6 separate regions of the Mus musculus genome follow, and all the other regions are reported to be linked to region 1. Evidence: microRNA targets listed by miRTarBase, many of them from high-throughput screens and not tested one by one. Region 1 holds a microRNA gene; each other region holds the end of a gene's coding sequence. Distances are between the middles of the regions.
The links. The annotated mature microRNA mmu-miR-467f reads AUAUACACACACACACCUACA and lies in region 1 at 3,345-3,365, opposite strand. An mRNA with a match to its seed (bases 2 to 7 or 8) in the 3' UTR can be bound and repressed. Matches are read on the target gene's strand: a 7mer-m8 pairs with bases 2 to 8, a 7mer-A1 pairs with bases 2 to 7 and ends in A, and an 8mer does both.

Region 1 (5,074 bases):
TACAATTCCCGTTAAGCTTCGTATTCGAGCCATCTCTCTCTCTCTCTTTTGTTACTCCATGACAGTTTTTCCTGTATTGAATCCCCTCAGAATTTATGCATCAAGTTATGTGGCATTTTGTTTTTCATACGGCACTAAATTTACTAGAATACTAGTCAACTTAGGGCAAGCATGGTAATGACATGGCTGTAATTTTTGCACTTGGGAGGTGGAGGTTGGAGGACCTATTCAAGGTCATTCCCCCACTACCTAGTTAGTTCATGGTCAGCCTAGGACACAAGAGACCCTGTCTCACAAAACTTAAAAAAAAAAAAAAAAAAAAAAAAAAAAAAAGTCTACTTAAGCCAACAACAGTGACTCTTGATTCTCCTATGGATGCAGAGAGTCAACACATGCGCATGGACACCAAAGCCCAGCGCCTGCGCACTGGGCAGTTTTTGCCTTTTGGTTCCCCCCCCCCCCCCCTTTTTGGAGTGTGCGCACCAAGAAAGACAAAGGTGGTGAAAGTGACCAAGCAGTCATTCGGGCGCATGCCCATCCCTAAATTGCCCAGGCTCCATGGGGCTCACTTTGTGGAGGCGGAAGTCCAATCCGATGCAGCGAGCGCGGCCCCCCTCTCCCTTTGATTGGTTTGCTTCCAGTGTTGTGGGGCGGGGAAAGGAAGGGACAGGGACAGTGGAAGGTTGGAGTGGTACAGAGAGCGTTCGCCTCGTTCTGCGCAAGCGCAGAGAGGCGACCAGGAGGGGGCGTGAGAGAGTGCAAGAGAATGTGGAAGCCCTGACGCGCTGGCGAGCGGGAGCTGGGTCGCTAGCCTAGACGCCTGCGCCTTGGCCCTCCGGCTCCGCGCGCGGCGGGCGGGTGCCCTGTGCGCCTGCGCAGTAGGCGGCGGCAGCAGGGGGAGGTGGAGGCCGTGGAGCGGCAGCGGCGGGTCCCGGGACCGAGGCAGCAGCGGGGGCGCCGGCGGGCGGAAGCTGAGGTGACGAAGGCGGCGGCGGCGGCGGCGGCCGTTTCCCTCACGGTGGCGGAGACCAAGGCAGCGGCGGCGGCGGCGGACGGGGAGCGGCCCGGCCCCGGCCCCCTGCTCGTCGGCTGTAGCAGGGCCGCCGTGGGGCCGGCCCGGCTCCCGCCCCCCGCGGCTCCCCCTCCGGCTCCTCCTCCAGGGAGACGCCGGGGACCCGGCCCGGCCCGCACTCAGGGCTCTGTTTCAGCTGCTGCCGGGCCAGTCGGAGGTGGTGGCGGCGCCATGGGCGGCCTGGCCTCTGGGGGGGATGTGGAGCCGGGACTGCCCGTCGAGGTGCGGGGCTCCAACGGGGCCTTCTACAAGGTGAGACGGCGCGTCGACCCGGGCCACCCTCCTTAGCCCCCTCCCCCAGCCGAGGCAGGGAAGAGTGGAGCGGGATCGAGTTTCTGGAGCTTGGTCTTGACCCTTAGAACCTTCGACCCACGTTCCCACTCGAAACCCTCCCGTGGCGATCGTGGGAGTTAACCCTCGTGCTTTTATTTTGAGCTCGCTGTTACACCTGCTTTTATCAGCTGAAAACATGGCCATCAGGTCATTCCTGTGCGGGGATGGGAGCCCCGGGTCCCTTTGGAGAAAGCCCTTTTCCTAGCTTCTAATCGACTTTTCTTGTTTTTTTTTTTTTTTTTTTTTTTTTTTTTTTTTTTTTTTTTTAGTGTAGGCGATACTTCAGCTTTTAATCACATCACCCCTGCAGCCCAAGCACATGGAGGATTCGCATTCTTTTCCTACATGACCCCCTTGGGAAGGTCCACTGTCCCACATTAGGTCTTCAGGGAGCCTTCTGCCTACTGGCTCTAGACCATTTGCTCAACTTTTGGTCTTAAATTCCTGTTCCCAGGCTGACAAGAAATGGTCAAAACCCATCTGTGTTATTTAGCATTAGCATCTTTGGCCTCAGGTTTTTATCAGCCAGCCATAAAGTGGATTTGTTGGACAAGTTTGTCACCCACCACACCTATATTCCAAAATCACCTATGAGGGATGGATTCACGCTTATCTCTTTGACTCTAGATATATTTAGGTCATTCCTCTATCTTCTTGGTAAGTTTAAGCTTCACTGTCTCTCAAAGGCCATCTCAACAAGTTCTTATTCTAACAGATTTCTGCTTGTTGACAATCCTTCTGGAAAGAAAAAAAGTATCTTTCAGAATTGCTTCTTTAATCAGCTTTTTCTTTGCCTAAGATTTGATTCCTGTGAACTTTTTTAAGGGGTGTGGTTGGGACAAGATCCCCTCCCTGGCTGCACTTGAACTCTTCCTCAGCCTAGGATTACAGCTCTGGCGTTACTGGTTGAGCCACCATGCCAGACCAGACTTTTGTTTTTTCCTTCTTTCTATCCACCACCCACCCCATCTTCTGTATCTGTCCTGAGTCTATTCTGGATCCCACGCCCCAGATATTTTCTTCTTCTGATCAGTGGGGTTCTGAACATCTTTTGACTTTTATGAGTGGAATTGTCCCGGACACGTTTGGTCCCTCTCTTACTCTTCATCCTGGAGAGAAAGAGGAATTTCCATAGCATGAGATGGGTGAGAAGAGCCCCTTTTTCTTCAGGTTTCCTCAGGTTGTCTGTCCCCCTACCCTAGTAGAACTTCTACTTTCTTATGCCCTTGGAAATAACTTTCTCTGACTCTACTATGAAATTGTATCTTTTTTGTAGCTGAAAAAAGACTTAGGTTTGCCCTACCCCTGTAGATGGTTCCTACCCTCACTTCAACTGATATGCTAGTTATCCATTATAAAGGCCAGGCCATTTTTTTCCCTTTTCTGATCAAGTTCTTTACCCAGTGCCTATGGGTGCACATACCTATTAGCTTTAATGCAGCTTCTCAACTAAGTCTCGGTCTTTTTAGCTTGGTATTTCTGTATTCCTGTGTATCCTTGATGATGTCTACCTGTCTAGTCTGTGTATAGCTGAAGAAGGCTCCTAGCTGATTCTGTCACTTTCCTAACTCTTGGTACTTTTTCTTCAGACCAGAACAGTGTCTCTAACATTTCTGTTTTCTGTAGCAAAAGTCTTTAATTCTTTTGGCTTCTGAGAGGACACATTAATGTTTTAATATCTATTTCACCCACATTTGTATTACCTTTGTTAAAACAGTCTCCTCAGGCTGGGTATGGTGGTACATACTCTAACCCTAGTACTTAGAAGGCTAAAGTAGGATTGTTGAAGTTCAAAACCAGCATGGGGAATGGAATCCAGTCTAAAACAACCCAAACAAACCCAAAAAGTACTCTTTATTATGCTCTCTTTTCCTCGATATGTTAGTCTTCATCTGTATCCTTCTAACATCAAAATGTTAAAAATTCCAAAAAAGCTGTGTGTAGGTGTGTGTGTGTATATACATACATACACACACACACACCTACACACACACCCACCCCCGTTCGATTTCTGGGTACAGGATTTCTCTATGTAGCCGTGGCTGCCCTGAACTCAAACTCTGTGGGATAGGTCTGCCTTTGTTGAGTGCTGGGATTAAAAGCATCCACAACTACTCTTAGTTTGAAAAGTGGTTCTTAAATTGAGTATGAGATCAAGATAAGATATTTGCATTTGGTTTAAGGAAGCTCAGGAGCCATGCACAGCTGGGACAGATGAGTGCTCAGTTCCAATTAACTGTATGACATGGTTGGGCTGGGACATGAATTCTGTTACACATATGGGTATCCAACAGAAAGTCTCTCTTTTATCCTTTTATTCTGTGGGCCAGAGCAGTGATAGATTTGAGGGAAGCAGGGACAGGATTCTTTGATAGTATAGAGTTAATAAAAGCCAAATATTGAGTGTAGATTTTGTATTCTGGCCACTTCAGCACTTTCTGCTCCATGACTGAGTTAAAGACATTGCCTAAGTGTAATGTAGATACTTACCTATTCAAACCTTGCTGATTAATATTTATGACTCAGCAAACTTTGGTGTGAGTAAGGGATACTAACTTTTTAGATCTTTTACGTTTGGGGAGATTCTTTTCTCCTCTCACAAAACTGTTTTACTGTGATTTTTCTAGAGCCAGTAAATATCAGATCTGAGGTCTAAGTTATTTTAGAATTATCCTATCAAACTTGGCTTTTCTGTCAGGATGTGATGTGTTTTGTTAAGGTGGTTTCAGGTGGCTTGGGCTTTTAACCCGGGATGACCTTGGACTCCTGGTTTACTGTGGCCTTTCCTAAGACCTGGGATTACAGGTGCACACCATCAACCCCAGCTTCATAATGTGTTTTGTTTTGTTTTTGTTTGTTTTTTGAAACAAGGTTTTTCTGTGTAGCCCTGGCTGTCCTGTAACTCATTCTGTAGACCAGGCTAGCCTCAAACTCAGAAACCCGCCTGCCTCTGTCTTTTGTTGTTTTTTTTTGGGGTGGGGGGCAGGATATCCTGTGTTGCCCTGGAACTCACTCTGTAGGCTAGGCTGGCCTTGGAAGGTTTAGGCCACCACCAACCTGTTAAGATGGGGTCTTATTGTATAGCCTTGCTTTGTTGATAAGGCTAACCTTGAACTTGAGGTCTCATCTTAGCCTTCCACTGAAGTACATCCTCAGCCAGGTAGCCCTCCTCCGATCTCTTCCTTCTTTCTTCCTTTCCCTTTCCCTTCCTCCCTTCTTTCATTTTTAAAAACATTTCTCCCCATATAGAGACAGGATTTTTATACTTTGATAGCTCAGGTTACTCTGAAACTTAGCACGTAGCCTAAGCTGACCTCCAATTCTTAGACCCTCCTGCCTCAGGCTCCCCCCAAACAGCCAAAGCAGGTCGTATCTGAAGCAATATTCAGGGTTAGATGTTCTCATTATAAGGAAAGAATAGTTTTGTAAGTGGTGACTGGCCAGGTCTGTGAGGTGGGAACTCTGTATTCTCTAGAATATTATTGGTACATTTTCTCCTAAGCTCTGCCACTATCCTAGTTACTGTACTTAGGGCTGGTCCTTGAATATTGTTAGCCTTTTTTTTGAAGCATCTGGCTTTCTTACTGCTTTTGATGTTGAGGATTGAAATCAGGGCTTTATACTTGCTAGGCACACATCACACGGAACTATATTCTAGCCAAACCCCCC
Region 2 (5,074 bases), not on the chromosome of region 1:
TGACTGCTGATTTGTGGAGGTGTTGTGATAGGACAAATCATTTTCTATGGTGTATTCTTCCTGCTTAGAATAAAGTTGTGAACACGTGGAAAGTGTGTGACTTGTTTTTCATTTTATAAAGGTTCTCAGTTAAGATATTTTGGACTTTCTAAGATTTTGGTGAGTTTTCAAGTTGGCCTATATTTCATGAGGTAAGTGGGAGACTTCGGATAAAAGACTGTGACTTTAAAGTAATATTTTTGCATGTCAAGTTTACAAAGGATCAAGTTGTGAACATTCCTTTTAATTGTCAATTTGATACAATGTAGAATCACCTGGGAAGATAGTCTGAAGTGAGGGATTGCAGTAGTAGCCAGGAACTCTTTCTCTCTACTTTGACTGTAGATGTGACATGACAGCTTCAAGCTTCTGCAGCCTTGGTGTTCCTACTTTGATGGAGTACAACCTGGACTTGAGATAAAATGAGCCCTTTCAACGTGCAGTTGCTCTCTGTCAGTATATTCTACCACAGCAACAGAAACAAAACTAGGACATGAGTGATCTCAAAAAACAACTAAGGCACATTTCATTTGAGTTTCTAGAAACAAGGAGCTGCTACAATAAAGCAGAATGGAATCAGGATATGTTGTGGAGAGCCAACCAGTGGCGCTTGTGCTTTCCTCACATGTCAAAATTATCTGGTTTTGGTATGTGCAGGGAAAAATGTGTTGGTTTTAAGAGCCTTTTAGACACATAGAAGAGAGTGTGTGCTGGACATAACAAAGAGTCCATAAAGGTATTTTCTGTGTCCTCCCATTATATGGGACTTACCATCATAAAGTGTCCACAATCATGCTGTAATCTCATAATCCAGCATGAGTCATTTGTACAGCCCATAACCTAGATTCTAAAACTGTGAAGATGGGTGGGGGAGATACAGTGACAGCTCTCAATTCCACATGACACTGAAGTACAGGATATACATATAATGTTCATGAAAATCTTCCAAGTTACTTCTCACTCTGCTCTCTGGGAGACAACAGGCAACACCTGATGGTTCTGAATGAGTGGCAAAGGCTTGGTTTATGGAAGAAATTAGATGAGAAGGAAAATGAGTTCCTGTGTATCTCTGAGAGTTTAGCCCAAATTCCAGCTCTCTCCCAAGCTGTCCTTAATTTTATGAATGCTTTTAAGCACTGATCAGTCCACAGAAGCCATTCCTAGTTGCCTATTTACTACTTTTCCAGACCCAATCCTGTCTCACAAACAAACAAGACAAGACAAGACAAGACAAGATGCTGTGAGTGCCTGTCCGTTCTAGCCTTGCTGCCTAGAAGTGTGCCATCAACATTAGGATCAGGAACTAGGAAAGGAGGATGGGCTAGGTGAGGAAAGACTCTAGCCAAAATTCCACTGTTTAAGTAGCTGAATTAAGGTACTTGTGGGATCTCCTGTATGTGGACTTTTTGTGTGATATAAAAAAATGTCTCCTTACTATTTAAGCTACTTACTATTTAAGTGCTCCCAGCATTCCCAGGTCAAAATCAAACTCCTCCATAAAGTCTCCTCTTTTAATGCCACCTGCTTCTCTAACCTGAAACACCTCACAGGTTGACATCTGGTCTACCAATTCCTTTGTCTTGCTATATTACCCAAGAGCAAACAACTGCTCTGGCCAAGGGATGCACTGTACTTCACCTGAAACCTGGGCTTTCTTTCCCCATTTCTTTTTGTATTGTGTCCTCAGCAGAGTATAAAAGAAATCACAGAAAGGAGATAAAAAAAATTCAGAGCTGAGACACCACAGAAAAAAAAATTAAAATAAAACTCAAATTGGTATTTCTGCTATGATGGTTAGGATGGTTTTTTTGTTTGTTTTTTTCGAGACAGGGTTTCTCTGTGTAGCTCTGGCTGTCCTGGAACTCACTTTGTAGACTAGGCTGGCCTCGAACTCAGAAATCTGCCTGCCTCTGCCTCCCCAGTGCTGGGATTAAAGGTGTTTGCCACCACCACCTGGCTAGTTAGGATGTTTTAAAGATTTATTTTTGTGTATGAATGTATGTGCAACGTGCATGCCAAGTGTCCACAGGGATCAGAAAACTGCATCAGACCCTATGGAGCTGAAGTTATAAACAGATTTGAGCACCATGTGGGCACTGCAAACCAAGTACAAGTCCTCTGAAAGAGCATCAAGTGCTTTTAACTCCTGAGACATCTCTCTAGTTCCTATGCTGGTGAGTTTTATAGATTTTTTTTAAGATTTATTTATTTATTATATGTAAATACACTGTGGCTGTCTTCAGACACACCAGAAGAGGGCGTCAGATCTTGTTACGGGTGGTTGTGAGCCACCATATGGTTGCTGGGATTTGACCTCATGACCTTCAGAAGAGCAGTCAGTGCTTTTACCCGTTGAGCCATCTCACCAGCCCTGCTGGTGAGTTTTAATTGTCAACTTGACACAGTCTAGATTCACCTGTGGAGAGAGTCACAATGAAATATTGTCCAGATGTGGTTGGCTTATGGGCTTATGTCTGTGGAAAGTTACCTTGATTCTGTTAATAGATACACACCATTCACTGGGTTTGAGTCTTGGATTGTGTAAGAAAATGAGCTGGTAACCAGGTATGCATAGTCATTTTCTCCCTGTCTCTCGGACTCTCTGTCCCTCTGTCTGTCTCTCTGTCTCTCTGTCTCTGTCTCTGTCTCTGTCTCTGTCTCTCTCTCTCTCTGTGTGTGTGTGTGTGTGTGTGTGTGTGTGTGTGTGTGTGTGTGTGTGTGACCAGCTATTTCAAATTCCTGTTGCCTTGACTTCCATGCTTTGATGGATTATCCAACCTGGAATTGTGAACTAAACTAAGCTCTTTCTATCCTAAGTTGTTTCTGTCAAGAGCATTTTATTGTGGCAACAGAAACAAAACCAGGACCTACATTTTAGAAGTTATAGGTAAGGAAAAGTTAAAGATAAAGAAATGGTAACTGGGTGCCAAACCACCTCCTACCCACTACCAGATCCACTATCAACCCTGTTGACAGTGAAGGAAGGTGGGCAGGTTCTTAACAAATCAGAGATCAGCCATAGGCAATGCAGCGACTATAGCCCACTGTCTAATCCGTACCTGCTGGTGAGAGAAAGATGACATAGCACAGGGTTAGGGATCCGAGCTTATACCTTGAGTCTTTTCCTTATAAAAACAACTATGGACGCTACTAGTAACAAAGCTATCACAATTGTAATGAATTTCATTTGAATGTTCTGGCATAAGGATATTTTATCATGGACCTGGAGAGATGGCTCCGTCATTTAGAACATGTGCTGCTCTTGCAGAATATCTGAGTTCAGTTCCCAACACCCATGTTGGAAGGCTCACAACTATCTATAACTCTAGCTCCAGGGGAGCTTTTGGCCTTCTTGGGAACCCACATTCACATACACATAGACATACACACAGGCAATTAAAAAGAAAGTAATATTTTATAAAAGAATACTTGATCAAACTGGATATTCTGGCCCACATCCGTAATCCAAGCACTCAGAAGGCTGAGGCAAGAGAACTGTGAGTTTAAGGCCAGCCTAAACCTACGTGACAAATGTACACAGCTATATTCCAAAGAGCAAAACAAAATTGATCCAAGTTGTAAAATCAAAAATGACATCTTGGGTTGTTTTTTAAACGTTAACATTCCTGAGGTTGCAAGAATTCACAATGGAGGGTCATCAGCAGAAACTCTCCAGACGATCAGCAAGAAGCCTAGTACAGCACAAAGGCTAACCTCTAACCTCTTCCCCTGGACCCCATTCCATTTGCAGAGCTTGAGGTCTTCCCTTTCAACTGAACATGTAGCATGCCAGGCAAGTGCTCCACACTGAACTCTGCTCCTAGAGCCCTGCAGTTGTCCTCTAATGAAATGGCCCAGTATTTGCAAGGCTGCTGATCCAGTGTAGCAATAAATTCATACTTGTGGAACTCATTCCAGATAATGAAAATATGTTGTCTCTTTCATTAAATAACAGCAAAGCAGCACAAACTTTTGTAGAAATTCACATACTACATACATAGTAGGAAGCTGTAGTAAATGCTCAGATACTTAAATAAATACCAAATAGTACAAAGAGCAACCAACATGGTTCTATTTAAAACTGTCTTCAACTGTGGCACCCAAGGACAGCAATACAATACTTTCTTTACAAAGTGACGATTATAAAAATCTATAAATGCATAAATTCATTTGTAGGCTATTCTCACGTAGTCATGTCATCAGGATACACTTCCTTTCATTCTTTCCTGAGGTATCTCTATGGGTTGATTTTATCTTACTACTGGAGAGATGCACTGCCTTTGATCACCCTTTCCTAAAATGATTCTTAAAACCTGCAAAATTTTTATTGCATAGGACACTATTCATGACAGAGAGACTGGGAACTGTAAATATGTTGCACTGGAACAAGTCTTACAAATACTTCATTTTAAGAATTTGTTACATACATTTTTTACAGTTTGTCTCTTCTAAAAAATTGACCTTAGAGGTAAGAGCAAATTAAATACAACAAAGCATCTTAGGAATGTTAGTTTTAGAAAGTTAGATGAATGATACAAAGGAAAAAGCCATAATTCTTGCCGGCTATATATTGTATTGCATTCAAAAGCAACTGTACATGCTGTAATCAGTTCATAGTTAAATATTTCTACTAATCTGTTTTGGGAGAGCAAATGTCTTTCAAAGTTTCAAGCTCCTCTATAAGCTTCTTGTTCTGAACTTCCAGCACTGCGACTCGACTCTCAAGACACTTCACATACTCTTTCTTTCGACGTCGACATTCTTTAGCAGCTTCCCTGAAAAAAGTAGAAGCAGAAGGGCAAACAAAACATATGTTGCATGCTATTGGCAATAGAGCAAGCTTGGTAATGTGAGGGGAGCTGCATTCCAACCCATGGAACAGTATTCCCAATTCACACTCTACAGCAGACTGTATTCTTAAGCAAGGGTTAAGAGACCCATCTACAAGTCCACATGGCCATTATGAGGATGCTGCATCGCCTGCCCCGATTAGAGTTCACAGTCAACAAGGTCCAAATCAAACACAGTTACTCTG
Region 3 (5,074 bases), 46 Mb from region 1:
CTAGCCAGTATTGGCTATTCTTAGTGACATGGGTATATATACCCTTGTGGGTTTTAAATGTTAATAAAGGATTCCTCTAATCCCACCTAGGACTTAGGAGTGTGTCAGAGCGGAGGGAGTGAGGTATGAGGCTTCTTTGGAAAGTGGGCGGGTTCCCACATGCTTGCCCTCCCTGGGGGAGCCAGGAGTCCAGCTTCCAAGGCCGCCTGGCAGCATGAGAAACACCGCTTCCCTGCTCTCTCTTGCAGCAGCCAACCTACGTCCAGGCGCTCTTTGACTTTGACCCCCAGGAGGATGGCGAGCTGGGCTTTCGCAGAGGAGACTTCATTCATGTCATGGATAACTCAGATCCCAATTGGTGGAAAGGGGCCTGCCACGGGCAGACCGGCATGTTTCCCCGCAATTATGTCACCCCAGTGAACCGGAACGTCTAAGAAGCAAAAGAGATTATTTAAAGAAAGTGAAAAGTTAAGACCGTTCACAAGAATTACACCCACACGCTGCCTGTCACAGCCTGTGAGGGAACGCAGAACACCTGGCTGGGTCCCACGGGTGACCCTCTCATTGGGTTGCAACTTTGGGGGGTGGGGAGGGGTGTTTGATTTCATAATGCCAAAACTTAACCTATTGAATGAATTACAGTTTTTATTACGGAATCTCGCCGCTACCCCTGTTCCCCTCCTGTGTCCTTTTTCTCGTTCTTTCTTTCCTGTCCAGTGCATGATGTTTAAGGCCACATATAGTCCAGCTGATGCCAATAATAAAAGACAAGAAACCAAGTGGGCTGGTATTTTCTCTATGCAAAATGTCTGTGGAGATGGATGGACTGAAAGAGCCGGATTCCTCACACACAGGGGCAGCCAGTGCTTCTGGGGCCCTGGTTGGGGTTCACCCGAGATGCCCAGGGGTACCGCCTCCAGCCTCAGGCCTGGAGCATTCCATCAAAGTTGGAATTAGGGGAAGGAGGCCCACTGTCCTCCCCGGTCTCCTGAGAGTCAGACTGCAGGCCCTCCCCTCTCCCACTGCTTCCCTTCAGGTGTTTTGACGTTTTTTTGTTTGTTTGTTTGTTTTTTTTAAATAGTGCCTTTGTCTTATTTCAAGGGTGTTCATAAATGGTATTTGTACCATTTTTTTTTTTAATAAGTTAAAGACAGTCCAGAGCTTTTCAGTTGATTCGTCTCCTATCCTGTGTAAATATTTTCCTCTCAGGGCAGGGGAAAGAGGACAGAGAAAGGAGCTGGTAGAAGCAGAGAGTGTATTTCCCATCTTGAATGGGCCGGAGGTCTCGAAGCCTCAGCTTTTACTTTGTGAGCTGCAACACTCGCTTCAGCTCAGACTCAGTGGACATCAGAGTCTCTGTCTCCGTGTCTCAGTTATGGTCTGCTCTCTCTATGCCTGGAGCTACTGATCCAAACACAAGACGGTCAGAGGAGCCCTGGCATCCTTCACTCTTATAGGCCTACATGCAGATGGGCTTGAAGAGAATTGGCCTTTCATTTTTCACGCTCGTATTTCCCCACCTGTCCAAGGGTGCAGATAGCAGGATTGTGGGGTCGGCCGCATCTCTCTTGGCAGTGGGTTGTGCTGCCCCTCCCCCCACCCCACCCCTCCATCCCACAAAGCCTTTCGAGGTAGGAGAGACCAAGACCAGTGCACAGCTTTTTAACTCTTGTCTTCTGTGAGTTTTCCGTCCTCTGTAGTCACGTGCCTGCACACCGTTCTCTCCACCCTGCCTCCTTCCCACAGCAGAAGCAGGGCTCCACCCAGGCCTTCCCTTGGAGTCGGTGCATCCATGGGCTGCTAGACTCTTGCGGGTAGAGTCTCCCCTGGACTTAGCATTGTGAGATGGACTCAGCTCAGGGCGCCCCTAAGGCTCGGAGGCGGCCTTCTGGGTCCCCACCTCTCCTGGTTCCGCTGCTGCTCTCCCTGCTGATGATAAAGTAATCTCTGGAGTCACACCTGGGCCATGTGATTGTTTTATTTTGGAATTGGTGTATATCATGAAGCCTTGCTGAACTAAGTTTTGTGTGTATATATTTAAAGATCAGTGTTTAAATAAAAAAAAAAAAAAAACCAACTATGTACTTACTCTGACTTCTGCGGACAGCAATTTGGTAGGTAGTGATTAACTGTGAATAAACGTACAATGAGTTCTTAACTGTGTGTCTTCATTTCTCCCTGATGGTGTTTTCAGTTTATTTTTTTATTTATTTATTTTTTTCAAGGCAGGGTTTCTCTGTGTAGCCCTGGCTGTCCCAGAACTCACTCTGTAGACCAGGGTAACCTTGAACTCAGAAATCCGCCCATCTCAGCCTCCCAAGTGCTGGGATCACTGCCCGTCCTGATTTTATTTTATAGATGGGGTCTCACTATGTTGCCCTGGCTGGCCTCAAATTCGCAGAGATTCTCCTGCCTCTGCTCCCAAATGTTGAAAGTAAAGGCTTAGAGTATGTTAACTCTGGCCGGCATCTCCAGACCCTGTGAACCTAGGACGAGTGATGTAGCTCATTATGTGGAAAATGGTTTAGACAAGAACTCAGAAGAACCCAGAGCTGGGCTGGAAAGCTCCTCTTCCCTTCCGAGCTGAGGGTGTGGAAAGGCTAATCTCTGAGGAAGTCGGTGAGGCAGCTACATGACACAGCCGTGACAGTGGTCTTTTGGGTGAGACAAAGTTGGTAACCACACGGTGCTGGCTATGACGCGGTAAGGGTTGAGGCTTGAACAAAAGAGGATTCTGCCGAGCAAACCACCTGAACTGGTGGCTAGGAGGCTCCCGGGTGCCACCTGCTCCTCCCCGTTGCGGTGATGTGCATGTGAGAGGGAGCTGTGCTTGTCTGGGCCAGCTGAGCAGAGAGCTTGGGCTGACTTTGAACTCCCTTTGTGTCAGTTTAACCCCTTCCTGATTGGGGGGGGGGGTGTCATTTTTTCCCCAGTGCTGAGAACCCAGTGTTTTACACTTGCTAACAAGCACACTCTCCTTGAGCCCCCTCTTTGTTCTTCAGGTGATCACAGTGTGTGTCCTGCCCCTCCCCTGGGTCAGATTCCTGGTGAGTTATCCAGGCTGTGTATGTGTGCCCAGGGCCAGCTCAAATGTGTCTCATGATAAAGGCTAGGCTATGCAAAACCTTGAGGATACCACTAGCCAACCTGGCCCATCATAGTGGCCCTGCTGCTCCCTCCTGGTCCCAAGACTTCATCGAGCACCAGGAGCCAGGTGCAGAGTGAGATCGGAAATGCTAGGATGGACAGCTACATTGGTTTAGGTCATCTGACAGCACCAGCCAGCTGTCTCCTCTTGACACCATTCCTGGGCCTGCTTATGGGCTAGATGGCCTTCAGACCCAATGTTTTTTTTTTTTTTTGTTTTTTGTTTTTAAAGGTTGATTTGTTTATGTATATGAGTACACTGTCACTGTCTTCAGACACACCAGAAGAGGGCATCAGATGGCTGTGAGCCACCATGTGGTTGCTGGGAATTGAACTCAGAACCTCTGGAAGAGCAGTCAGTGCTCTTAACCGCTGAGCCATCTCTCCAGCCCTGGATCTGTTTTTTTGTTTATTTGGTTTTGTTTTCAAAATTTTGGAGATTCTTAAACATTTTTTATTTTATGTGTATGAGTGTTTAAATATATGTCTGTGTACTATGTGAGTATGGTGCCCTACAGGATCAGACCTAAAACTGGAGTTACAGAAGGTTGTAAGCTGCCATGCAGGTCCTGGGAACTGCCTCCACCTCCTAAGAGCCAAGACCATGTTCACGGCCTATACCATGAAGCCCAGTGTGGAGTTCTGGGGTCTCTTCAGCCTCTCTGTGGTAGTTACCATCACAAACCTAAGCAAAACAGGGAATGGCTGTTCACACCTGTAACCCAGCACTCCAGAGGCTGAGGCAGGAGGATCAGGTTGCATCCCAGGTCCCTCTGGGCTACAGAACTGAGAGCTCCATTGTCTGTGACAAAGTTTAAGGGAGGAGGACATTGTTGATGGTTGACATGACAGTCCCATGTGCTGATGACTCTGAGTACTGGGGTTTGGCCAGCCCACTTAAAATTAATTAAACCCAGTCGAGTTGGCCGAGCAGCAGGTAGAAGGGACTTGCTACCAAACCCTCAGAGCCATCTGATGGAAGGTGGGAATGTTGGCCTCTGACTTTTATACACTATGACACTGTGTGTGTGTGCGCGTGTGCGTGTGACTGCCAGGCATGACACACCTTGGAGCACAGTACTCTGGAGAAAAGGCAGATGGGATCTCTGAGTTCAAGTCCAGCCTGCTCCCTGTTATCCATCTCCAGGCCAGGCAGAGCTACACAGTGAGACCTTGTCTATTAAGTACAGGCTGGAGGAGCTAAGAGAGATGGTACTTGCTGATAATCCCAGTACTGAATAAGATGGAGACTTCTAGGCCAACCTGAGCTACATGGTAAGACCAGGGTTCCTAGACCAGCCCTGGCTACATGAAGAGACAAGATCTAGAGAGCCAATTTACAAGGCATACTGTACTCTGTTCGAATAGAGACCACTGAGAGCAGATCCAGCAACAGTCTTTTCAGCACACCTGGCATGGGGCCTAAAAGGCACCGTGCTCTCGGTCTGAGTCAGCACTCCCCTGTCTGCCTCTGCTTCCCTTCTCTGTGCTGCCCAAGGCTTGAGGATGTACATCAGCCTCTCCCATCTCCTCGGGGCATCTTCAGGACCCCTGGTGACAGTGTCCTCCATAGGGGTCATGGCCTCTTCTGCTCTGGATCAAGGGGACTTCCCCCATGAGGAACTGGCTGAGGAGAGCCACGTTTATGCCTCACAAATGAGCAGCCTCCTCCACTCCTGCGCTGCAGACGTCACTGAGTCATCCCGAGCCTGGAAATCACCACATTCGGGTCTTCGACTGCACCGCCAGGGAGGTGTTCCTCTGCCTAGATGCTTAAACCTCGGTGTGAGCCACGAGCTGGGTGAATTCAGACAGGAAGTGGGGTATGCAAATGGGGTAAGGATGGGTGGTTAGGGAAGATAGCATCAGGTTGATCTGTTGGTATAGTTCTTTGGACAGTTATTAATAGGTGGAGCTGGAGGTGTAA
Region 4 (5,074 bases), not on the chromosome of region 1:
GCCCAGGGTATTTGTGAACAATAATTAGAAGCATCTAGGCCTGAATTACATGGTTAACAGCGATTCTTTAGTCCTGGCTTTGCTAGTAGTCAAACTGTGTGGCACTGGCTAAACCACTGAGATTCCCCAGTCCCCAGCTGTATTAGTTGTTCCTTCTAAAAGCACTATTTGGTGATTCTATATCTCAAGGCAGAGGCTGTCACTCCACATTCGTTCTCTCTGTCCTGTTCTCTGATTTGCACCCTTGCTAAGCCATTGTGTCTTGCTTTCCACCAGACCCAAGAGGCACTCACTTATGGGAGTTCATCCGAGACATTCTCTTGAGCCCAGACAAGAACCCAGGACTGATCAAATGGGAAGACCGTTCGGAAGGCATCTTCAGGTTCCTGAAGTCAGAAGCTGTGGCTCAGCTGTGGGGGAAAAAGAAAAATAACAGTAGCATGACATACGAGAAGCTCAGCCGGGCTATGAGGTGAGCTAATTCACGTTCTTCCATGGCCAGGCCAAGAGCTGGTGCTCCCTGCCCGCTCAGGCTGAATGGCCACCTTACTTGTTTCCTTCTTACAGATATTACTACAAACGAGAAATCCTGGAACGTGTGGATGGACGACGGCTGGTCTATAAGTTTGGGAAGAATGCTCGTGGATGGAGAGAAAATGAGAACTGAGGCTGCCAGCCCTTGGGACACAAACCAAAACACACAGCAAATGGATTCTGATCAATGAAGAACCGGACGTAAATATCTCAAAGACTACTTTTCTGTGATATTTATGTACCATGAAGGGACAAAGAAAATCTACTTCTGACGGGAAGAAGGAACACTACAGTTGATAAAAAAAAAATTATTTTGTTACTTTGAAGTATGTCCTTTTGTGGGGAACAAATGTACACAGTTTTCTGTGAACTATGAAGCTGTATGTGATTGTGATTTGCTGTTGCCTCTTCGTGAAGTTCTTTTCTACCCCCAAGAACAACAGGGCCTGTAGCCTTGTGCTTCTTGCTAAGAGGAAGGGATAGGAAATGAGGGCATTAAATGTTTTCAAGTGTAAAATGGTTTAGAAAAGAAAGGCAATGTGTTCTCTGCACCTAAGCATCTGTGTGACCTCAAGAGAAATGGGATTGGGTAGGGAGGACAAAGTCCAGGGTCTCAGATTGGTGGGATCAACCCAAAAGATGCTGGGAAGTTTGACTTGAATTGGGAGATAGTGAGTGGAGAGTAGGAACTTTGACAGTCCAGAGTGGCCTATAAGCACAGCATGATCACAGGACTGGGAACGTTTAAATACGGCAGGTGAAGAGTTTATCCTCAGTTATGGACAATTTTCATGTAGACCCTTCATCCTTGAATGGTTGGTTAAAAAAGTCAGTTACCACATGCAGTCACTTCTAGCTATTGAAGAGTTCAGTCCAAATATTGAAAATTAAGTGGGACAGGAAAATAGTGGCCTGGAAATGATCGATGAGCATGCTCTTGTATCTCTGTAGTTCAAGGTTTCTCCATGGGTAGAGTTGCCATTTGGGGTTGGGTCATTCTTTGTGGTGAGGGTTATACTGGGCATTGTAAAATGTGTGGCGATATCCATGACCTCCATCAGCATTTTGTAACTGTGACAATCTGAAGTGTTTCTAGATATTGTCAAATGTCTCTAGGAGGACAATAGTACCCTTGAGCGAGGACCACCAATTGAAATGGACAGTATGAAGGCAGTCGTTCAGTCTCAGAATAGAGAGATCTATAGACACTTCTAGTCTCTAGAGTAAAGCAAAAGCAAGACCTTGAAGTCAATATATGTTTATTTTTTAAAATAGTAGGGACAGCAGGATGAGAATAAATGGAGGAGATTCTTTTCAGAGCTTCACATGAAAACCAAAGTCAAATAAATGCAATGATGTATGGAAAGTGCAAGAGAAGTTGTTTGCACAGAGAATGCAGATATTGCAGAAGACAGTGCCTAAGGCAGAGTCTATGGATGTCTCTGTGTGATTCTCTCTCTCTCTCTCTCTCTCTCTGTGTGTGTGTGTGTGTGTGTGTTTGTGAAGTTACTAGGGGCCTCTGTCAGTTTTCTCTCTGCTTCTCCTTCCCTGTCTTTCCCTGGCTGTGGTCGAGGATGGCCAGACCACATGTCTTGGGTTCATTTATTCCTGGGTTCTCTTATTCCTGTAACTGGATTTGACCCTTCCTACACCTACTTCATTATAGAGCTATTGCTGTCAGAGAGTAGGTGAATCTGGAGAGGACCAGTGGGAACAGTTCTGCAGATAAACAGATTATGCTGTTGGCTGAGAGTGGCAGTTTCTTGGCACCCAGTTCCCATTTAAATAGACGGGAGTATTAAGTTCTCTGCATATCTATTGTCTTGGCTTGAATTTGCGGTGTTTTCTATGTGCTATTCATGACTTTGAGAATTCCAGGTAATCAAGCTATGCCAATTTGGGGTGTAGTGGTGTGCTTCCCACCACAGTTTGAAAAAAAACAAAACAAAACAAGACATGAAAGTCCTACAGAAAAGCACCTCTTTCTTTAGGGGATCGTTACCTAGTTATTAAGTTCATCTGAGATTAATTGGCCACAGGATCACTAAATATAGTTTCTTGAATATTCCTAAGTGTTCTATTAGTGGTTTCCATGGGAACTGAAATCAAGTAATGGACCATTAATACTTCACAAGACTCAGATCATCTGAGACTCCTATAGGACTTGATGAAATTAAGCAAGGTCCTGGATCCCAGAAACAGGTCCACAGGTTCTTCGGTATGCCGAGCAGGAGAGACAATGCCTGAGTTTCATTCACTGAGCCTTCCTTCAAGTTCCCAGCTGATTAGACTGTAAGCTCGCCAAGGGCAGGGAGCATGTCTGATCACCTCTGTTATCCTCATACCTGGGATGCAACAGGAGAACTTCTCATGAATGAATGATGACTGTCTTCTGGGAGACTCCTCTGGCTGGGAACCCATCAGTCATATTCATAACTGGGATGTGAATCACTTCTTCAGAACAGAGCATAATAACTAAACCTTCCAGGATGAGAACATTTTACTGTGACACTCTCCTTTGCCTCCCACCTATGCTGAAAAGAAATTCAAACAGCCTGCTTGGTTCCACATGTCAGTGTCTGCTGGATGAGAATTCTGTTGCTTTTTAGAACTGTGAGACTTAACCTGGTTACAAGATGCCAGTAACGAACCCTTGATCTATTTAATCAACGAAGATTATAAATGTGTTTATATGATGTCAATTGCTATTTAAGCAGGAACCCATTTTCAGTTTTGGTATTTAGGGGTTGGTTTTTATTTTTTGTTATTTTTTTCTTCCTTTTTGAAAAATGCTGAGGGATATTTTGATAAGGTTAGTCATGCATGTTAGGTTTTCATTTTGCAAGTATGTCTTTTTTAATGTATAAAAATATAAGAAAAGGGAGAACAGTAAGAAGGGGAAGCACTTACATTACTTTTCAGTACTTTATTAAAGCACCTACTGGGTGCCTTGTGCATAGTGAAACACCATATATGTGAGGAGTATATGTGAGAGAATAGACTATAAAAGTCACACGATCTGGACCTGCAGAGGAATACTGACTAAGAGAAGGAAACACCAGCATGGCAAACTTAGTGTTAACAGGTGAGTTACCCTCAGCTGGGGACTCAGGACTCAGTTTCTGGAATAAGGGAGACCATTAAGAAAACCAAACTTCTTGGAACTGTATCTCACAAACTTTTGAAACATGTAGACTTCAGAGTTCAGCTGAATTTGGATTAATCATTCTGTAGCTATCTGTATAAATCTCACTCTTCTTGCCACCTGGCTTCTGGGTTGATAATTGGTGGGCGACAACCCTTCTGCCACTGTTTTATTTTTATTTTCATTTTTATTTTTATTATTTTTTAAATCATGACTCTTTCCCCTTAAGCTGTTAAATTCAAACAATTTATGTTTAATGAAAGAATTCTGTTTTGTTTGTTTGATGGGTCCCAGAAAACACTAATAAAAAGCACAGAGGCCATGCTGGAGATGTGTTTCCTTCCTTGGGATAATCCACCCTACAGACTAAATGTTGTAACAGAACATGGACAGCTTTGGTATCTGCTTAGCACTCAGTGGTTTTCTTTCTTTTTAAGATTTTTTGTGTGTATGTGTGTGTGTGCCTGTTTTTCTGAATGTAGACCATGTGTGTGCAGGTGTCCTTGGAAACTAGAAGAGGTGTCAAGTTCTATGGAACTGTAATTACAGGTGGTTGTGAGTACCAACGCAGGTTCTGAGAACCAAATCCAGGTCCTCTACAACAGCATCAAGCACTTTTTTCTGTGGAGCCATCTTTCCAGTCTCCACTTGTTGGCATTTATGTCTTCTGTGCCAGACATAGAGCATGAAACAGACAAAGATACTCAGCTCTAATGTAGCTTATATTCTTTTAGGTGGAAATGGATAAGGAAAATCAAACCTAGCACATCAGATGTGTGGACCAAGGGAAAGGATTGGAGAGGATAAGAAGTGGAGTTGTGTGGCTAGTTTAGGGAGGGCTGAGAAGACATTTTGGTAAAGGACTAAGAGTTATAAGAGAAGGAGCCTTAGATGACTGGAAGAGTGTGGCATACCAAACGACCAGCAAATGTGAAGGCCCAGAGGCAGGCATGTTACTGTCATATCTAATGAACAGTAAGTAGACTTTGCAGAAATAGACTCACAATGGTTGGGCACAATGAAAGAGAAGCCAATCAGGGCAGACCAGAGCACAGAACTCCTGGAGGCACACATGAAGGGTCCAGTCCTCAATTTGTGTAAGGTTGGGGAGTTCAAAGGTTCATGCTTTAACTCACAGTTCAAATGATGGTTGTCCCAAGAATGAACTGTAGGACAGCATTTGGTGCTGGGTGTACATTCTCAGTTGTGGGATGCAGCATAGCTTCCTCTTTCATTCTGCCTTCTAAGATAATGCACATATTGTTTTCAATACCTGAGCTCTGCTCTATGATGGCACCTTTCTCTCTGGACCTGAGTCTGTCACCTAACCCCACGGGTGTAATGGAAATAATAGCTAATTGCTTGGGTAATATATACAATGCAAGCTGGTGATAC
Region 5 (5,074 bases), not on the chromosome of region 1:
GGAATCTGCGCTGTCTTTCTAGCAAAGATGTTTTGCTGCATAGCACCGGGGTTTCATTCAGTCACTGACCTCTACTGTCTGCCTATGTGCATATAAAACTCAAGTAAGGAACATAATTTATTCATAACATACAGACAGAAATTCTCATCCTATAATAATTAAGGTTCTTCGCTTACAGTGAGTGGTATTATTACAAAATGATAACTAAAAAGAAATATAACTAAAGATTGTCAGGGTTTTTACTTTGACTGGACCTGTAAAATTGAGAATACTAGAATAATAGTGTTAATAAAAGTGTTTGCAGATTATTTTTATTAGTTTGAAGTTGGTACAGATTGTAGTGATTTTTTCCCCCAGAAAGTCATTGTTTAGATTTTGTACTAGGCAGCTCTCTGATGATGATGCCTTCCTCACTATATGTACCAGAACTTAATACGGGTGAGCAAAACTGATAGAGAAAGATGCTGGAGAGTCACTCCTGTCATTTCTCAGCTTTGTGCCCATGTCAAGCCCTGGGAGAAACACTTGTACAGTGTTAACTGTGTCACCATGTCCATTTCTTACCTAAACGGTTGGACAATGGGACACCGTTCTCTTGCTTTCTTGCTTTACCCATTACCTGACTCAAACCTCCTCTGTCTGGGCATTTTACATAAGCTCTTGGAGTCTATGTATTTATTTCAGGGCCTGTTTTTATATCTGTTAGTTACAGTGTTGTTTCATTTCTGTTTATTTACAGGTACAAAAATCGAAAAAGTAAAAAATCGAGGGAGGAATATGAGAGAGTGACCTCAGGGGACCCAGTGCTGCCACAGGTCTGAACAGTGCCATCAAGTTACGGACAAGGATTCACAGTGTGCCTGGCTGATGTCAATATTTTCTCATGTTAATAATATTTATGTTGGGTCATCTGTTAGGTCAATAACTATATTTTTAATACAATTGGAAAGTGTTTTATTTTTGACAGAAATATATTTGCTAATATATTATATGTAAAATATTTAATATCAAAAGAAATTTGATATTTTTGTAAGAATTTCCTGAGTACAATGCTTTATTGAAAAGCTTCAAAGTTCATTAAGCTGATGCAGTGCTTAGAGAGAGCAATGTCCAATCTGTGGCTTGGGAGGTGTCTGCAAGTGACATTCCTGCGAGCTTAGTGATATGGTCAAGTCCATTGCATCAGTAATTTATTTTTTTCTTCTTCTGTCTGTGATAATTGACTTGACTGAATTATGGCTTGGCACAGTGGTTGGCGAGCCTCGTAGTATAGTCAAATCAATTGCATAAGTAATTTATTTTCTACTTCTTATGTCTGTGATAATTGCTTTGACTTTATTATCATGTATTAAACAGTAATAACAATGGGACTTAGAGGAGGTAAACATAACTTATGTGCCTCAAACCAGCTAGTCCTGGACAAGATGTCTCTTCAGTATCTCTGCTATTGGGTTCAGATGTGTCTAGGGGAACAAAGAAAAATTCATTAACAAACATTAGCTGCTCCACCTATGTAGAGTATATCATGTGAGGTTGTTGCTTTGAATATCAATCAGAAAATCCACATCTGAAGACAAATTTGAACCCCATTTTAGAGTATTTATTTTTATAGGGAATTTACTGAAGGATTGTAGCATTAAAGCAGAATCCAAATCAAAGTAATTGTATTTTTAAAATACAGGAGGGCGGGCGCTAACCAGATCTTGACTGATATGGAAACGTACTTTTGTATTTCATGCTCAAGAGGAGTTTTGTTTTTGCTTTTTGTTGTTGTTTTGTTGTTGTTATTTTGTTTGTTTAACATGGAGTCTCACTCTAGTCCAGACTGGCCTCAAGCTCATGGTTAACTCTCCTGCTATAACCTCCTGGGTTACAGTCATACATTACGGTGCCCAGATTCAAAATGGTTTTTCTTTCTTTCTTTGTTTTGTTCTGTTTTTGTTTGTTTGTTTGTTTGTTTTTGTTTGTTTTGTGTTTTGTTTTTTACAATACACAGTTCAGACAACATCTTTTTACAGATTTTAAAGCTTCATTTAAAAAACATATATCCAAATGCAGGAAGCAAAGAAAATACAGGAAAAAATAAATCACAATCTATTTTTCCAAAGGGGAAACACATTTGAAAGCTTTTAAAATGTAGACTTCATTATCCATACCCATGGAAACTAAAGAGAAGCCTGCCCCATTTCTTCGTCCTTTGTTTGCCTTTGTGGAAAGACAGAAGGCTGGCCTCCACTCTCAGCTTGCAGGTCTTCGTGAGTCACTGAGAGGATTCCAGGCAGCTATCTCGAGAGCCACTGCTAGAACACCTTTTCCTGGAGGCTGCCCCACCAAATGCTCAACCTTAGGTGGAATCTCCCTGGAACACATACCAGGTCAGGGAGGGCCGATCCTTCCTCCACCTTTTTCCTGGCATATGTTTAAGGTAACAAAAAGATCAGGAGTTGCCTCTGGCCTCTAAAGTGCCAAGGGACCAATCATTGATGTTCCATGGAGCCAGTCATGGAAATCCCTGGAAGGTTCACACAGCTCTCATCCAAAGCCCTGGCCTTGCTATGAGGGAAAGATTGAATAAGCAGCGCACAAGGCATTCTGGTGCACTAACTTGTGCACACACCAGCTCCAGCCTTTGCAGAATGACAGCTCTTTGTTTCTGAAGTAACCAGCACACCACACTCATGTTTAAAAGGACAAAGGGGAATGAAGGTCAGTGAGATCTAAAAAGTGTATTTCTTTGCCATTTGATTTGGCTGAAGGACAGTCAGCATCCTGTGTGAGAACACATTTTGAAAGCCCAATGACATCAACTGGGTAAAGGAAACACTAACCTGTTTCCAGTCTCCAGACAAAGGTTTAAAGCTTTTCAAGAACTGGGCTAAAACTCATCCAGTTTATCTACAGAAGCTGAAAACAGGCGTTTTAGATATTGGTATATTGGTATATGATATGGTATGATGCTTATGGTCTGCTATGAGCATTCCTGGGCATACCACATAACTAGATGCAAGAACCTTGGGGTAGCATTCTGTATTTTTAAATATGTTTTAAAAGAACTCAGGAACAATTTACGTCTCTGTATCTTTTTTTTACTATTGTTGTTTTGACCTCAAAGCTGGGAATAAAAGTCAGAGCCTTACACATGTCCAGCAAAAACTATGGTTGGGATACACCTATTATCCCCTAAAAACATACAAATAATGCAAAAGGATGATGGAGCTTCCTGGTGTCGGGTGAACATGTTTTAAAAACTCATTGTTCTAGTGAAGATTATGTTAAGCAAGCCTAAAAAAAGATGACAACCAGTTCATACACAGATTTCCCATTATATTGTGTATACACACACACAGGGACATCAACAAGGGTAGTACACACACTATACTGAGAACCAAAGCAACCCCAGGTGCATAATTGTATAACTTACAGTCTCCCATCAAGACTACCTCATAGTCCAGTAGATCCACTCCGTGACCAAGGACATCATGCTCTGTATTTGACAGTAAAGTTTTACCTTAAAAATGAGACCCCCAACTACCTAAAGCACCCATCTTTGTAACTAGACCATAACTATACTGCTTTCATCTGGTTCACCCCCTCTATGTCAAGAGTCAAACTGTGTGAGAAAAGCCAAAGATTTTTTTTTGAGTCCTTTTGAAGACAGCTAGCTAAATTTGCCTGCCAAAAGATGTCAATTATTGAATTGATACCTGTTTCTAGCAAATATATGACATGGCCTAGTGTCTTAATTTTTGTCCCACTCCGTCAGTAATTTGAAAAGTTGCCTTTAAATCTTTTTATTGAACCAAATTTGTCACGTTTGGTTCAATTTTTTATTTTGTAGATTTCTTTTAAAGTTTGATTGATTTCCCCGTTTTTTAAATCTTTTCTAATGTTCTGGGAAAGGGGGAGCATAAACAGCACTTTCAGGCTACATTTTAAAGTTCTAACGGAAAACTACATTTGTCTAAGATATCTCTGCTATTGACACATGATGCCTTTGAATGTCATAGAGCATATTTTCTCTTTTTGCCTGTTTGCACTCTGCCATTGCACTTTGTAAATCTGTAGAATCGCTCGTATAAAATTTCTATTAAAGATTCTAGTGAAACATAAAGTTGTATTGTGTTCACCTTAAAACTTATTGGATTATGAATGTTATCAGAGTACTGAATTGTATCAATTTGTTTGCAGTTAATATCAGCTTTGATAGTCATGTACCTTGACATAGTGAAGGACACTATAATGTATGAGTTGTTGTCAGTTTTTATTTATTTTTTGTTAGGAATTGGCCAAGATCGCTATGGAAAAAATAAAAGAACAAACACATAAAAAGGCTGAAGTCTCTCTTCCTTTTTCCCTTCCCTATTTGTGTCCTAGCATATTGGGGGGGGCTTGAAAGTAGTGTCGGAGTTTTAAGGTGTGGTAACAGAAAGACACAGTGCTCTTAATTTGGGAAAGATCCCATATATGTACCTCATTTTAGGGGCTAATATATTGAAGTGTTACAATAAAAGGAGTCATTGATTTTAGGTGTTACCATGTTTTCAAAGATTATGCTAATGGGTATTTTAATATGCCCTATGACAAATGGCTTTTTAAGAACTGTACCAGCCAGAAGAATACTCATGATTCCTTAACCTGTGCCCCAAAGACTCAGTTTCCTGGCTTTCCATAGGAGAAAACAGTAGCTAGGCCACATGTACTTCCTTATACATTGCTCCAACAATCTGCAAGGCATTTCTTGTTGTCCCTTTGTAGTGGCTACTAAATGTATACTTGACCACTAAGTCATACAAACCAAGAACCCCTCTAGAGGTCTTTACTGATTTATGACCTCCCTGAGCCTTTGATAGCTTGGGAACAGTGAGGCCATAGCCTATGACAACTGAATAGTAACTAAAAGCAATGGGTGGAGCTACCCTGAGAAATGAGGTCTCCTGACCCTCAAGCCACTACAATTCTGACTGTGTCAGAGACAACAGAACTCAGTGGAGAATTAGCATCAATCTAACTCAGTGTTTTGTTTTGTTGTTTTGCTTTGTTTTGGGCAGGGGGAACAAGAATTATTATTAATTGG
Region 6 (5,074 bases), not on the chromosome of region 1:
ATCTCACTACCAGCAGGGCTCCCCTGATGGCTGGCATGAGCCTGAGCTTTAGAATTACTTTGCAGTGTCTAGTGGTTTCCCCCTTCCTTGGTTTCTCCAAATGAATCCAACCATATCTTTTTTTTTTATTTTTAAAAAGATTTATTTGTTTTATTTTATGTTTATGTTTGTTCTGTTTGCATGTATGTGTATATGTGTAGATATAGATATAGATATAGATATAGATATAGATATAGATATAGATATAGATATATATCATGTGTGTACCTGGAGCCCTCAGAGGTCAGAAGAGGGTATCAGATCCCCTCAAAGTGGAGTTATGGATGATTATGAGCCCCTTGTAGGTGCTAGGAATAGAAGCTAGGTCCTCTGCAAGAACAAGTGCTATTAACCACTAAGCCACCTTTCCTGTTCAACCACATCTCATAGGAAAGCCTTGGCTGAGCATGAGGGTCACCTAGGATTCATACGAAGTCCCCTTCATTTCAAGTGACACCTCCAGGACCTTACAGGACCATTTTCCTTCTCATTCTAGGGCCTCTGAGTGAGAAGCAGGAAGCTCTGATGACCAAGAGCCCTGCATCCAACACACGGCGTCCTGAGGATCGTAGTCTGGGACCCATGTGGCCCATCACCCAGAAGATTCTGCGTGAATTCTATGGGCCTTTCAACACAAGGCTGGCACAGGTCTTGGATGACGAAGCATTTGCCTGGAAGACAACGTGAGAGCTGAGTCCCTTCTGCAGAAGCTGGGCCCACTGACTCTGTCATTGCCATGACTTTAAAAGTCTCCAGGCGGAGAACTGTCACCCACAGCGTGGAGAAAGCCGCTGGAGCCCCACCCAATCCTCTTCTCATGTCCAAGGCACCTGGTGTGGGAACTATTTTAAAGCTTTCCTTGCCATGTTCAGCAGCTCTGCTCTTGATTGCAAGGCTCGTCCACCTGAAGCCTTGGAAACGACACTGGGGGTAGGCTTCTGTCTGTTCCCAGAGTGCCTTGGATCTCAGGAGGGCAGTGGATCTCTGGCACCCAGTGGGTAGGAAGAGGAAGCTACGGGAGGCCATAGACCAGCCTTGCCTTCCTTCCTCCAGGAGAGTTTGTCTGGGTGTAGGGTTGGACAGCTCTGGGATCCGATTAAGGCCATGTTCTGGGGCTGCCCCTCACGTGTTATATCCCAGCAGGCCTTGCATAAATCGACAACCCCATGTGGACAGAGAACAGAGCTGCTTGGAGAATGGAGGCTCTTTCGTTTTTGTTCGTATTCCCAAGTCAGCCCTTCGGTGACATCAGAAATGAGCCCTGTTCCCTTTGCTGTGCTCAGAAGAAACTCAGAAGTCAGCTTTTGGCAGTAGGCTCGTCTCTCTGACCTATTCTGCCCATACACTTTGTTTATGCCCAGCGTAGAGAAGGAGCGTTTTAAAACAAACTGCTTCTCGCATTTGACTGGCCCTGCCTCTCTTTTCTGCTCCCTTGGATGTTTTCCTTAAGGACTTCAGTTTATATTTGGAAAGGGAAGTTTTGCTGTTAATGCCAGAACAGAACACCTCAAGGCATCGAACAGTGGAAAAGGAAGGAAGTGAAGCCCTCCCCATTTGTGGGGGTCACTGGAGAGTGTGGGGATGTTTTTGGTTCTGGCTGGTTACAGGCTCCCCCCTGTCTTCCTGTTGGAGGAATCTTTATCCACATTCTCTGTCATGTGCAGCCAAAGTTCTGTAACTCACTAAGGGTGAGTCTCAAGACACCCTTAGAATGTCCTCAGAAACACATCTCACAAACTAAGCTCGGGCCACATGTGGTGTCACTAGGAGATAGCTTTGATTTTTATGAACCTTTCCAGGCCTGCTAGCAGCTTGGTTCGCAAAGGATATGCTGAAAGTCTTGTCATTTTAAAAAAAAAAAAAGACCCCAGGGAATACCAGAGAGAACAACTTAAACCCACTTGGCACACAGGACAAGGTGGGGATGTCACAAAGCTTTTCATTGGAGCGTTGCCAAGGGATGCTGCCTGTGAAGCTGTGTTCTCAGGTCAGGATCCTGTTCACCAGCGTCAGAAAGTGTACACACCACATGCCCGACTGTCACTTGGACGTGTGAGAAAAGCTGGGCTTTGGCAGCAGGAGGCTGTGCAGTTGCTCGACTGTGTGAGTTCTGCTGCGGTCCACCCTTGTTGGAGATGGGACTCTCAGCTCATTGGAAGGTTCCGGGAGAGCTCTGGGCATCAGCATGGACTGGGCTCGTTCTGCTACTGAAGGGGCTGTGTGTCATGTGGCCTGTGTTCCAGGACAATTCTCCCTTCTCTCACGGTGGCCACTTGGCTCGGCAGCCAGTGGGAAAATCTAGCCTGAGTACAAGGATGCTTTGGGAAGAAATGACGAGAGAGAGAGAGAGAGAGAGAGAGAGAGAGAGAGAGAGAGAGAGAGAGCGAGAGAGAGCGCAAGCTCAAGCGCAAGCGTGTGAGAAAGAGCACGAGAGAGTATTTATTTGGAATACCGTGTGTGTGTGTGTGTGTGTGTGTGTGTGTGTGTGTGTGTGTGTGTGTGCGTGCGCGCGCGAGTGTGCGCGCGAACACTCGTGCTTATACTGAGCAGGGCCCTCTCAGCTGTCTTGTTGATGGGGCTTCTCCTCCATTAGAGACATGATGCCTTTATGAATTAATTTCTCCAACCCTTCGCCTGTCATTTCCAGGACATATCTTACTGCCCCACACCAACCACGACTCTAAGAGATTTTTTCTGACGCACTCCTATGCATGTGAATAACATGTCGCGTGATTCTGCTTCTTACAGAAGTATTGCCAAAGGTATTATTTCCAATATTATTTGGTTCATTGCTGATCTTTTTTTATACGTGCAGCCCCTTCCTTTCCGCCATGCGTGGCCATCCGGACCCAGTCTTCTCTCTATTGCTCCCTCCCCGGGGGTCACCGGCACTGCCTTTGCTTTTGCTCGGTTGGAGCCCCCTCTTGTTGAGAGCACAGGCAGTGTTTTGGGTGATGGCTCTTGAGCCTGTCACCCCAAACCAAAGCGAAACACAGACCTGGTACCGAAGACACTTCGTATTCCCAAAGCCGTGTGCCAGGGTGTATGACACCTTCCCTCCCTTGTCGTGTAAGGTATGATATGCGAGTCACATTTATTCTGTACTTTTACTCATATTTAAAATAATTAAAGATGGACCCACACAACTGGTGCCTGCCAAGAGTGAGTCCTCCTTCACAAGCTTGCTGGCCAGTTGTTTCCATGCTGTTCTGTGCGCGTGCGTGAGTCCCGGGGCGGGAAGGTCAGCACTTCCCCTGCCTTCCTGACAGTCCCAGAGCAGACACAGGGCCATACTCATTCCCTGGGGAATTCCTGTGGAGGCCTGCTGTGGTTGGGAGTCAGGGTGGGAGGTTCCATCCAGCATCAAGTGCCCTTCACGTGGTCGTCAGACATAGGGATCTAAGACTGAGGTGACAATGGGCTTTCAGAATTTGAGTTTGAGATCCTTGGTGCGTCTTGAGTGTGACTCATCCCTAGGCAGGCAGGGTCCCGCTGGCACTCAAGAAATATGGGCAAGCTTGGAGAAGGAGAGGGTGTACCAGTCATTGTTGGTCACCTTAACAAAGTAACTCAGGGCACCTTACACACCTTTCCACAGGTTTCCTAATCAGCACCAACAGTGGTCAACCATGTTCAGTGTTCATGAACAGTGTTCAACTATGGGAGCCCATGGGGACATTTCACATTCATTCACCACACAACCCATGCTTACTGTCACTGCTCATGTGTCAGTCTAAACTCAGGGGGCCAGTGCATTGTTTTCTCTATGGCCTCTTTCTGTGGCTTCCCTGTGCCTGCTCTGTGACCTCCCCCCCTCACATGACCATCTCTCTGTGCAGGTCCCTGATACCTTTCCCTCTTTCCTTTCCTCTCCTTCTCCTTCTCCTTCTTCTTCTTCTTCTTTTTTTTTTTTTTAGTTTTTCGAGACAGGGTTTCTCTGTGTAGCCCTGGCTGTCCTGGAACTCACTCTGTAGACCAGGCTGGCTTCAAACTCAGAAACCCACTTGCCTCTGCCTCCCGAGTGCTGGGATTAAAGGCGTGTGCCACCACGCCCGGCTTCCTTTTCCCCTTTTTATAAAGATGTCACCATTAAGGGTCTCATTTAATTCATAACCTTTTGAAAAAGAATTCTCTTTTTACTCAGAGGCTCAACCCATTTGGGACGTCAACACATCAATTTGAGGAGAGGAGTAGTTGCAAGAGGGCTTACTTCCCACTTAGAAGCTTGGATCATGCTGAGCACAGCGTGGTCCTTTGGTCAGTCCCACCTTTCTCCCAAGCCCTGCTCCTCATTGTGATGTGTTGAGTGTGGAGCTAGACTTAGCACAGCCTGGGGCTGGCTTCCCTCAGCAAGAATGCTGCTGTCTGAGAGGATAGCGGGTGGTGGATTTGAGAAGCCAGACAGGCCAGGGCATACTTCTGAAAGCTAGAGTTCCCTGTGCCTGGAGCTCTCCCCTACCCTTGCTGCTAGGAAACAGCCTGGGTGGTGCTGTGCAGAATGGCATTTCTCTGTTGGGGTGGAGACTGCATCCTGAGGAGAGCCTTGGGCCCTGTGGGTGAGGCTAATCTAGTGGAGACTTGCAGGAAAAATGAGCTTTGAGGAGTTTGGTTTTCCCTGAGCTTTGGAACCAGCTCCCCTGAGGGGCACCAGGGAAAGAACGTGGCGGGGCAGGGACTGTGAGCTTTTAGCCACTGCTGCAACAAAATCACTTCATCTGAAATGGCTGGCGATCCCAGAGAGCTCTGAGGAGTAACCCCCTTAGTCCAGGCCTTTGGAAGAATGGCCTGCAGCCTTGCTAACATCTATCTCTGTGATGGCTTCAGGCTGGCCTTGCTTCTATGACCCCAGCCCTGTCCCATTGATCGCTAAGGTCTTCATGGTGACTTCAAACACAGTGAATTTCTCATCGTACAGTCCCAGAGGGCAGCAGTCTCAGACCAGGCACTATAGGCTGAGGCAGGGTGGGAGCTGGGCTGCATCTCCTGTGATCCCAGGGCAAGCTGTGTCCAGGCCTTTTCCAGCTTTGAGAGGCTG

Region 2: the mRNA of Crem is a reported target of mmu-miR-467f. The part of its 3' UTR that is shown has no 7-base or 8-base seed match.
Region 3: the mRNA of Grb2 is a reported target of mmu-miR-467f. Seed matches in the 3' UTR shown: 7mer-m8 at 1,992-1,998 and 7mer-m8 at 2,028-2,034.
Region 4: the mRNA of Ehf is a reported target of mmu-miR-467f. Seed matches in the 3' UTR shown: 7mer-A1 at 3,395-3,401 and 7mer-A1 at 3,774-3,780.
Region 5: the mRNA of Ereg is a reported target of mmu-miR-467f. Seed matches in the 3' UTR shown: 7mer-m8 at 3,330-3,336 and 7mer-A1 at 3,410-3,416.
Region 6: miRTarBase lists Chst15 as a target of mmu-miR-467f. The part of its 3' UTR that is shown has no 7-base or 8-base seed match.

Annotation. Positions count from the first base shown.
Region 1 is chr11:69,632,075-69,637,148 of GRCm38, forward strand. It overlaps Mir467f (microRNA 467f), which reads right to left and starts at 3,445; the gene lies at 3,326-3,445. It overlaps Fxr2 (fragile X mental retardation, autosomal homolog 2), which reads left to right and starts at 897. Exons shown (of 17, transcript NM_011814.2): 1 at 897-1,324. The coding sequence starts at 1,244.
Region 2 is chr18:3,262,919-3,267,992 of GRCm38, forward strand. It overlaps Crem (cAMP responsive element modulator), which reads right to left. Exons shown (of 9, transcript NM_001110859.2): 9 at 3,436-4,814. The coding sequence ends at 4,670. Among named protein-coding and RNA genes, the nearest start is that of Crem, 62 kb to the right of the region's middle.
Region 3 is chr11:115,641,129-115,646,202 of GRCm38, reverse strand. Grb2 (growth factor receptor bound protein 2) reads left to right here. Exons shown (of 6, transcript NM_008163.4): 6 at 249-2,158. The coding sequence ends at 434. Among named protein-coding and RNA genes, the nearest start is that of Slc25a19, 15 kb to the right of the region's middle.
Region 4 is chr2:103,262,365-103,267,438 of GRCm38, reverse strand. Ehf (ets homologous factor) reads left to right here. Exons shown (of 9, transcript NM_007914.3): 8 at 277-472; 9 at 568-4,006. The coding sequence ends at 667. Among named protein-coding and RNA genes, the nearest start is that of Ehf, 38 kb to the left of the region's middle.
Region 5 is chr5:91,089,325-91,094,398 of GRCm38, forward strand. Ereg (epiregulin) reads left to right here. Exons shown (of 5, transcript NM_007950.2): 5 at 740-4,325. The coding sequence ends at 821. Among named protein-coding and RNA genes, the nearest start is that of Gm19610, 17 kb to the left of the region's middle.
Region 6 is chr7:132,233,926-132,238,999 of GRCm38, reverse strand. It overlaps Chst15 (carbohydrate sulfotransferase 15), which reads left to right. Exons shown (of 8, transcript NM_029935.6): 8 at 536-3,220. The coding sequence ends at 726. Among named protein-coding and RNA genes, the nearest start is that of Gm10584, 79 kb to the left of the region's middle.